3 linked regions of the Callithrix jacchus genome follow. Each later gene encodes a partner of the first gene's protein in a complex. Links are inferred from orthologs where the notes say so. Each region holds a gene or a part of one and is shown on either strand. Other genes may lie near its edges.

Evidence for each region.
Region 2: the proteins of RAB9A (region 1) and NDE1 are in contact, whole or in part, in a crystal structure (PDB 7E1T), measured with the Homo sapiens proteins. The link is inferred for Callithrix jacchus from reciprocal best matches to the Homo sapiens genes RAB9A and NDE1. Residues at the interface, in NP_001182257.1 of Homo sapiens: Ile40, Val42, Phe44, Asn46, Gln59, Trp61, Arg68, Phe69, Ser71, Leu72, Pro75, Phe76; in NP_001137451.1 of Homo sapiens: Asp99, Gln102, Thr103, Ala105, Ile106, Gln109, Leu110, Tyr113.
Region 3: the proteins of RAB9A (region 1) and SGSM1 are in contact, whole or in part, in a crystal structure (PDB 4QXA), measured with the Mus musculus proteins. The link is inferred for Callithrix jacchus from reciprocal best matches to the Homo sapiens genes RAB9A and SGSM1. Residues at the interface, in NP_062747.1 of Mus musculus: Phe37, Thr39, Ile40, Gly41, Val42, Glu43, Phe44, Leu45, Trp61, Arg68, Phe69, Leu72, Phe76; in NP_766306.2 of Mus musculus: Leu256, Leu257, Tyr258, Gly259, Lys260, Asn261, Asn262, Tyr277, Asn294, Met297, Asn298, Gln361.

Annotation. Positions count from the first base shown.
Region 1 is NC_133524.1:13,938,156-13,940,844, forward strand, and holds the end of RAB9A (ras-related protein Rab-9A), read left to right. Parts: intron 1-985; 5' UTR 986-1,011; coding exon 1,012-1,617; 3' UTR 1,618-2,092; downstream 2,093-2,689. UniProt on the Homo sapiens protein: The small GTPases Rab are key regulators of intracellular membrane trafficking, from the formation of transport vesicles to their fusion with membranes.
Region 2 is NC_133513.1:13,585,234-13,588,888, forward strand, and holds part of NDE1 (nuclear distribution protein nudE homolog 1), read left to right. Parts: intron 1-2,763; coding exon 2,764-2,889; intron 2,890-3,655. UniProt on the Homo sapiens protein: Required for centrosome duplication and formation and function of the mitotic spindle. Essential for the development of the cerebral cortex.
Region 3 is NC_133502.1:195,848,434-195,852,088, forward strand, and holds part of SGSM1 (small G protein signaling modulator 1), read left to right. Parts: intron 1-1,201; coding exon 1,202-1,789; intron 1,790-3,655. UniProt on the Homo sapiens protein: Interacts with numerous Rab family members, functioning as Rab effector for some, and as GTPase activator for others. Promotes GTP hydrolysis by RAB34 and RAB36.

The sequences.
Region 1 (2,689 bases):
CTGCAGTCCCAACACTTTAGGAGGCCAAGACAGGTGGATTGCTTGAGCCCAGAGTTTGAAGCCAGCCTGGGCAACATGTTGAGACCCTGTCTCTACAAAAAGTAGGAAAATTAGCAAAGCATGCTGGTGTGCACCTCTGGTTCCAGCTACTTGAGAGGCTGAGGTGGGAGGATTGTTTGAGCCTGGGAGTTCAAGGCTTCAGTAAGCTAGGATGGCCCCACTGCACTCCAACCTGGGCAACAGCGAGATCCTGTCTCCAAAAAAAAAAAAGGGCTGGGTGCGGTGGCTCACGCCTATAATCCCAGCACTTTGGGAGGCCGAGGCGGGTGGATCACAAGGTCAAGAGATCGAGACCATCCTGCTCAACAAGGTGAGACCCCGTCTCTACTGAAGATACAAAAATTAGCTGGGCACGGTGGTGCGTGCCTGTAGTCCCAGCTACTCGGGAGGCTGAGGCAGGAGAATTGCCTGAACCCAGGAGGCGGAGGTTGTGGTGAGCCGAGATCGCGCCATTGCACTCCAGCCTGGGTAACAAGAGCAAAACTCCATCTCAAAAAAAAAAAAAAAAAAAATAGAAGAAGAATAAAAGAAAACAAAACAAAAGAAGCATGTGAACTTGCAAACTTTGGTCTCCTACACATCTCTAACAAATGGTGATGGGGCTTGTTATGAGCAGACAGGGGCATATCACAGAGGAACGGTTCAGAGAAAGGGCTTTTAGGGTCAGACTTGGGCTTGATTGCCAGCTTCATAGTTAGCTGTGACCTGAGAAAGGGGACTAGTGAGCTCTTCCCAGCTGCTTTAGAGAATAATGGTAGAATAGTGGCCCACACATGGCTAAGTGTGTATGACTAATATAATAAGACAAGAAGTCTTATTATATTAGGTATTCCCTAGCTATATGTTTTATTTCAGTTAAATGCTGATATCATGTAGAATAATGTGTAGGTATAAAGGAATGTAATGGTGCCTTTTTATTTTACAGGGTTCTTGAAGCTCTTGTGATTAACAATGGCAGGAAAATCATCACTTTTTAAAGTAATTCTCCTTGGAGATGGTGGAGTTGGGAAGAGTTCACTTATGAACAGATATGTAACTAATAAGTTTGACACCCAGCTCTTCCATACAATAGGTGTGGAATTTTTAAATAAAGATTTGGAAGTGGATGGACATTTTGTTACTATGCAGATTTGGGACACGGCAGGTCAGGAGCGATTCCGAAGCCTGAGGACACCATTTTACAGAGGTTCTGACTGCTGCCTGCTTACTTTTAGTGTCGACGATTCACAAAGCTTCCAGAACTTAAGTAACTGGAAGAAAGAATTCATATATTATGCAGATGTGAAAGAGCCTGAGAGCTTTCCTTTTGTGATTCTGGGTAACAAGATTGACATAAGCGAACGGCAGGTGTCTACAGAAGAAGCCCAAGCTTGGTGCAGGGACAACGGCGACTATCCTTACTTCGAAACAAGTGCAAAAGATGCCACAAACGTGGCAGCAGCCTTTGAGGAAGCGGTTCGAAGAGTTCTTGCTACCGAGGATAGGTCAGATCACTTGATTCAGACAGACACAGTCAACCTTCACCGAAAGCCCAAGCCTAGCTCATCTTGCTGTTGATTGTTAGATTGTTGATGCATTCTAATCAACTCACACATATACACAAAATCAACATGGGGATGGAGAAGAGAATTAGCGTTTGCAGCAGTGTATCATCTAATAAAATTAAACTAAAGTATATTGCTGCTTCATTAGTTGGTGGGAGAAGGGACACATCTACCCATGGAGGAATATATTTACTCAGTAATGGCACCTTCCATTTATGAATTGTAACGGTTGTCTAATAACGTTTCTTTAATTTAAATATGTAAGTTGCAGAGCTAATAAATGAGATGGCCAAGACTTTAATGATAATTAAAATAAGAAACTTGACTATTCTAGAAGTTATACTTGGATTTTTTTTCCTGGGAAAATGGAGAACTACTTTTATATGTGTATGTTTTTATGCAATTAGCATTGTATTCTTGGTTCAGAGAAATAATTTCCTAAAGCAATAATGTTAGATATTAAAGATTAAAATCTAATGTATTTGCGATACATTGTTAATTTACTTCTTCATTCCCTTCAAAATGATTTAACCATTTCTATTTTCATTCTACGTATTAGAATTACTCTCACTAGTAATTACTTGTCATTTGTGTGCCATTCATGTGTCCCTACCCCCATAAATCTTGTTCCACAGTCTCAGGTGGAGGGCAGGCCTCCAGTGGTACAAGAGTTCCTTCATACAGTCCATCGTACATCCAGCTAGATTCATACTGTCTGAATGGAAAGCTTTCCATAGAGAAGAGTTCAGTTTTAAGAAAAAGGCTAACTACTGAACTTGAAGAACAGACAAATGTGCATTTGATAATTGATCTAACAATTACAATGTACTGTGTGGAAGATACAAAATTAGTTTGTTAATGGACTACTTAATACTTTTGTTACTTTCTTTACTCTTAGGAAAAGGCTCCTAGTTGAAGTTAAAACATTCCTTTTTAACAGAAGACACAGCTAACTTTATCACTCTCAGAGGAAATACTAAAAAGGCTTGTACTTTGTGAGAGTAAATGAAGACATCTTTATTTGGCCATGTATTTACTTACTGTCATCTCTATCATTGAATGTTGTTTAGTGATTTGCTCTCAAG
Region 2 (3,655 bases), on another chromosome or scaffold:
CCAGGCTGGTCTGGAACTCCTGGGCTTAAGCATTCCACCTGCTTTGGCCTCCCAGTGTGCTGGCATTACAGATGCGAGGCACTGCACTTTCTGGAATTCTTTATCTCTGGTGATGCAGATGGTGGTGGCACCCAGTTGCCTAAGCCAGAGCCGCAGAAGATGTCCTCACCTCCTTTTTCTCTCTCCCTTACTCCAAAAAGTCATAATTCATCAAGTTCTGGTAAGTTTACTGGCTAGATAATTTTGGAGTCAATTTTTGCGCCCTCCATCTTCATTCCTACTTTGTTTTTTAGTTTGTTTGTGAGATGGAGTCCAGCTCCGTTGCCAGGCTGGAGTGCAATGGCAAGACCTCGGCTCACTGCAACCTCCGCCTCCCAGGTTCAAGCGATTCTCCTGTCTCAGCCTCCCGAAGAGCTGGGATTATAGGCATGCACCACCATGCCAGGCTAATCTTTTTGTATTTCTAGTAGAGATTGGGTTTCTCCATGTAGGTCAGGCTGGTCTTGAACTCCTGACCTGAGGTGATCTGCGCACCTCGGCCTCCCAAATTGCTGGTGTTACAGGCATGAGCCACTGTGCCCGGCCCCTACTTTCTTTTTTAAGACAAGGTCTCACTCTGTTGGTGGTTGGGCGCAGTGGCTCACGCCTTTACTCCCAGTACTTTGGGAGGCTGAGGTGGGTGGGTGACAAGGTTAAGAGATAGAAATCATCCTGGCTAACATGGTGAAACCCTGTCTCTATTAAAAATACAAAAAAATTAGCTAGGCATGGCGGCGCATGCCTGTAATCCCAGCTACTCGGGAGGCTGAGGCAGGAGAACCATTTGAACCCAGGAGGCAGAATTTGCAGTGAGTTGAGATTGCGCCACTGCGCTCCAGCCTGGTGACAGAGCTAGATTCCATCTCAAAAAAAAATAAAAAAAAAAGACAAGGTCTCTGTTTCCCAGGCTCGAGTGCAGTGCCATGATCATAGCTTACTGCAGCCTCAAAGTCCTGGACTCACATGATCCTCCTTTCTCAGCCTCCCAAGTAGCTAGGACTACAGATGTGTTGCACCACACCAGACTAATTTTTAAAAGATTTTTTTTGTCGATGTAGGATCTTGCTGTGTTGCCCTGGCTGGTCTCGAACTCCTGGCCCCAAGTGTTGTCTTGCCTTGTTCTCCCAATGTGCTGGGATTACAGGTGTGAGCCACTATACCCGGCCTATTCTCACTTTCTAATGCGGGCCACCTTCGTTTCTTTTTTCCTTTTTAAACAGGATCTCACGTCATCACCCACGCTGGAGTGTAGTGGCATGATTTTGGTTCACTGCAACCTGTGCCCCCTGTGCTCAGGTGATCCTCCCACCTCAGTCTCCTGTGTAGCTGACATCACAGGCATGTGCCACTACACCTGACTGATTTTTTTCTATGTCTAGTAGAGGTAGGGTTTCACCATGTTGCCTAGGCTGCTGTCGAACTCCTGGGCTCAAGCAGTCTGCCCACTTTGGCCTGCCAAAGTGCTGGGATTACAGGTGTGACAACTGGGCCTGGCCTCCACCCTCCTTTCTTTTTTGCATTGCTGCAAGTGCTCTCCATCTTTGGCCTTGTCCTTCCTCTGCCTGTCCATGGCCGCTAGGACCAGCTATTTAAGCAGGAGAGCCCGTCATATAACATTGAGATCACATCACTCTCTTCTTTAACAACCTCCAATGGTTTCCCGTTGACACTAAGTCACAGATGCCAAAAGCCATCTATTTCAGTCTGTCCAGGTTCCCCTCTACTCCTCACCCTTCAACCCAGGCCTATCAGACTCCCTCTACCTCCCCTGTAAGTGCCTGGCTGTTTCTCCTCATTCCCCTCTGTGTAGTGTCCTCTTTTTTCCCTACCCACTTACCACTGCCTTACAGTTCTTTCACATTCTTTCACATGCTCCTCATGTGTCACCTCTGCCAGGAAGTCTTCCTTGACTCAGGTTGAGTTTGGAACTTCTTAAATATCCTGGGCACTGATATAAATGTTTATTATCTTGATTGTGATGATGGTTTCTCAGGTGCATATGTATATCAAAACATACCAATGTGTATACTCAAATATATGCAATTTATTGCATGTCAAAATTGTGTGCACATTTCTGTGGCTGCAGTAGACACAGAGTTTTATAATTTACATGGGGCCCGGTGCAGTGGTTCACTTTGGGAGGCTGAAGCAGCTGGTTCACTTGAGGTCAGGAGTTCAAGACCAGCCTGGCCAACATGGTGAAACCCTGTCACTACCAAAAATAAATTAGCCAGGCGTGGTGGTGCATGCCTGTAATCCCAGCTCTTCTGGAGGCTGAGGCACAAGAATCATTTGAACCCAGGAGGCAGAGGTTGCAGTGAGCTGAGATCATGCTACTGTACTCCAGCCTGGGTGATAGAGCAAGAGTCTGTCTCAGATAGTTAATTATAATAATTATTATTATTTATGTGCAGTTTACATTCTTCCCCTTCTTCCTCCACCAGGCTGTGAGTCCCCTTTAGGGAAGGCAGGCATCTTGGAGACATTTAACATGGCTCCCTCGGTCCTATAGTAGGTGCTCAGTAAATATTTGTATATGGCTGTACATGAGCCTTGATGTTAACCCAGGGAATGTAATAGGTGAGTGACTTGTCTTTTGTTTGGGTTTACTTCAGATTTTTGGCATATTTAATAATTTAACACACAAGAAGTTTATTTTTTTTTCCTGTTAAACGTCAACTACTTAACCAGATGTGAGTAATCATTTTCAAACCTTTATCCTAGACACCATGCCACAAGAAGACTGATCTCTTCTGCTGTTTTCACCATGGAGGACTCTGGAAAGACTTTTAGCTCTGAGGAAGAAGCAGCCAACTATTGGAAAGATCTGGCAATGACCTACAAACAGAGGTCAGTCCGAGTTCACCTGTTTTTCCTTTTTTTTTTTTTTGAGATGAAGTTTTACTCTTGTTTCCAGGCTGGACTGCAATGGCATGATCTCACCTACCGCAATCTCTGCCTCCTGGGTTCCAGTGATTCTCCTGCCTCAGCCTCCCAAGTAGCTGGGATTACAGTGTACTGTGAAGGTTTAACTTATACTATCTCAAAACTGCCTGTGAAGAAACTATTAACACCCCCATTTTATAGATGGAGAAACTGAGACTCAGTGAAGGCAGATAACTTGCCCACAGTCACACAGCCTATAAGTAGTAGAGCTGTAATTTGAACTCTAGACCTATGGTCCTGATTATCCTACTATGCCACTTTTCATCATTATTATTTTCTTTTTTTTTTTTTTTTTTTGGAGACAGAGTCTTGCTCTGTTGCCCAAGCTGGAGTGCAGTGGCGCCATCTTGGCTTACTGTACTCTTTGCTTCCTGGGTTCAAGTGATTCTCGTGCCTCAGTCCCCTGAGTAGCTGGGATTACAGGTGTACGCCACCAGGTCTGGCCAGTTTTTTTTTTTATATTTTAGTAAAGACAGGGTTTTGCCATGTTGGCCAGGCTGGTCTTGAACTCCTGGCCTCAAGTGATCTGCCCGCCTCACCCTCCCAAAATGCTGGGATGACAGGCATGAACCACCATGCCTGGTCTTCCCTGTTATTTTCTAGAAGGGTTTATCAGTTCCTAGATGCTGTATCTGGTCAGTTCTTTGTGTGCAGGGAAAGAGCTTTTCCC
Region 3 (3,655 bases), on another chromosome or scaffold:
TCTCTGCCTGCCCTCCCTTGAAATAACACCACTGTCGTCAGTTTGCAGTGTTTCTTTCAAAACCTTCTGTATGACTGTACAGACACAGAAATATGTAGATAATATATAGCAATGTTTGGCAAATTTTTTAAAAATGTGGACATAAATGCCATCCTATATGTTGTTCCAGCCTGGGCAACAGAGCGAGACTCCATCTGAAATAAATAAATACACATATACATACATAAAGATAAAATTATGTACAAATGGTAAAAGTCTATATGATGAAAAGTTACGGTCTCCCCTTATTTTGATTCCCTATTACCCTTCCTCAGAGTAAACTGCAGGTAGGGCGTGGTGGCTCATGCCTGTAATCTCAGCACTTTGGGAGGCCTAGGTGGGCAGATCACTTGAGGTCGGGAGTTTGAGACCAGCCTGGTTAATGTGGTGGACCCCCATCTCTACTGAAAATTCAAAAATTAGCTGGGCATGGTGGTGGATGCCTGTAATTCCAGCTACTTGGGAAGATGAGGCAGGAGAATCGCTTAAACCTGGGAGGTGGTGGTTGCAGTGAGCTGAGATCGTGCCACTGCACTCTAACCTGAGTGACTCAGTCAGACTCCATCTCAAAACAAAACAAAACAAAACAGAGTCAACTGCAGTATTTTCTTATTTCTTTCTAGATTATTCTATGCATACACAAGCACATGGGTCACTTTTGTATTGTCGTTTGAGATGGCGTCTCACTCCCATCATGCAGGCTGGAGTGCTGTGACACAGTCTCAGCTCACTGAAGCCTTGAGTCCCTGGGCTCAGGTGATTCTTCCACCTCAGCCCCCCAAGTAGCTGAGGTGTACACCACCACACCAAAATACCACACTAATTTTTTTGGTATTTTTTGCAGAGACCGGATTTCACCACATTGCCCAGGCTGGTATCGAACTCCTGGCCTCAAGCAGTCTGCCTCCCTCAGCCTCCCAAAGTGCTGGGATTGCAGACATGAGCCACCATGCACAGCCTAGATCACTTTCTTATTTGTCACACATGGGAGCATATCTTACACCTTGTTTTGCCTCACTCTTTTCACTGGCTGTGTGATATTCCACTGCATGCTTGAGCCGTATTTAAGCCGATCACCTGTTGTTGGATATTTAGGTTGCTGCTGTAAGTAGTGCTGCCGTGGACATGTTGGTCCATCTGTTTTTGTGCACCTTGTCCTCAGGTGTTTGAGTCTGTGGATGAGGTGGAGCAGGTGGAGGCTGAAGGCAGATTGGAGGAGAAACAGTCCAAGATCCCCAATGGGAACCTAGTGAACGGCACTTGTTCCCCAGACTCGGGTCATCCTTCTTCGCATAACTTCTCTTCGGGCTTCTCAGAGCACTCAGAGCCCAGTCTGAGCACAGAAGACAGTGTCCTGGACGCCCAGCGGAACACCCCCCCAGTGCTGCGACCTGGGGATGGCAGTGTGGATGACAGACAGAGCAGCGAGGCCACCACATCCCAGGATGAGGCCCCCCGGGAGGAGCTGGCCGTGCAGGACAGCCTGGAGAGCGACCTCCTGGCCAACGAGAGCATGGACGAGTTCATGTCCATCACGGGGAGCATGGATGTGGCCCTGCCTGAAAAGGACAGTGTCGTGATGGAGAGCTGGAGGGGCAGTGAGGCAGAGAAACGTGGCCAGGCGGACAGCGAGGACAACCTCTCGGAGGAGCCTGAGATGGAGAGTCTCTTCCCTGCCCTGGCTTCTCTGGCTGTGACTACTTCTGCCAACGAGGTGTCCCCCGTGTCTTCCAGCGGCGTCACCTACTCTGTAAGTCACCAGAACCCTCCATTCCATTTCCTTCTTTCTAGCTGCAGGAGGGACGGATGTACTACAAGCCGGTTATCCAGAATGACCCAGGAGTCAGACCTCTGCTTCCTTGCATTTCTTTTTCCATTGTGGAGCATTCACTGTAGAAATCCATTTGGGAGAGAAGAGAATATAGTATTTTTAAAAGGCGGGCTTTGCTGTCAACAATGCTGGGCTCAAATCCCACCTTCAGCAGGTCACTTTATGCTTCTGAGCCTCAGCTGTCCTATATGTCTCTTACTTCCTTTTCTGAGTGGTTTTAGAATGAATGAGTAAAGTCTGGCGTGCCTGCTGCATAGTAAGCACTTAGTCAGCAGCAGCCCAGTTCCTTGTAAATACTCAAATTTGCTTTCTTACCAGAAAGACTAAGCCAAAGGATGTCATTTGAAAGGAAGGATTGTATTCATTTATTTTTTAAAAGAACTTGTTATTTCTTTCAAAGATAGGCAAGCCCATCCAGGGTCAAACACTTAGAAAAGGCTGAATATAAAACCCAGAAGATACCTGCTCCATCGCACCCCATTTAACCCTCCCCAGAAGCAATTACATTTACTTACTCTGCCCACATTACCTGGTGTTGACCCCATGTCTCTGACACACTGGCATTGCTGCTTCTTGAAAATTTTTTTGTTTCGGTTTTAGACTTTTTCTAGTGGCTCCCACTATGAAAGAGGATGATGGCCGGGCACGGTGGCTCACGCCTGTAATCCCATCACTTTGGGAGGCCAAGGTGGGCGGATCATGAGGTCAACAGATCGAGACCATCCTGGTCAACATGGTGAAACCCCGTCTCTGGTATAAATACAAAAAACTTAGCCAGGCATGGTGGCACGCACCTGTGGTCCCAGCTACTCAGGAGGCTGAGGTGGAAGAATCGCTTGAACCCAGGAGGCGGAGGTTGCAGTGAGCCGAGATTGTGCCACTGCACTCCAGCCTGGCGACAGAGCAAGACTCCGTCTCAAAAGAAAAAGGATGGTTTAGTTCCCATTTCCTCCCAACCCCCAGCTCTCACCACATGTGACCCCTTCCCATTCCTATCCTTCTAATATAGTTATGTAATGATTTAAATGTATATAGTGTTATCATATTTTATGCATATACTGTAAATGTCAGTGCTTGCATTTTATTTATTTATTTATTTAGAAACGGCGTCTTGGTCTGTTGCCAGGCTGGAGTGCAGTGGTGGGATCTCAGCTCACTGCAACCTCTGCCTCCCAGATTCAAGCAATTCTCCGGCCTCAGCTTCCCAAGTAGCTGGGATTGCAAGTGCATGCCACCATACCCAGCTAATTTTTTGTATTTTTAGTAGAGACAGGGTTTCACCGTGTCGGCCAGGATGGTCTTGATCTGTTGACCTCATGATTTGCCTTCCTCAGCCTCCCAAAGTGCTAGGATTATAGGCGTGAGCCACCGCGCCCAGCCACTTGCATTATTTTAACAATATAGTACATAAGCCGTGCAGTAAACTGTTCTAATTTTTGTCTTTCCTGCAAAAAAAAACAGAATCGTTTTTCCAGATGCGTTTTTATTTTCCCGTTTGCTTTTTCTTAGTTTGCTGCATATTTAAAATCAATTCACCCCCAGAAGTCTTTACCATTTTCCTAAATCTCTTTTCAAACATTCAGACTCATCAGGTTTTCTGTTTGTTCTGTGTGTTTAAGGAGTTCTCTCCAAAAAACTCCTGAGGCCCTGCGCGCCACTGCACTGGTGTCGTCATTCACCGTCTTCCTCCATCCTTGTCTCGAGCTGCCTTTTGTATCGCTCATGTTTTCCTTTCTCTTAGACTCCTCTTTGGTTTAGTTGAACCACATGCCTCAGTGGCATCCA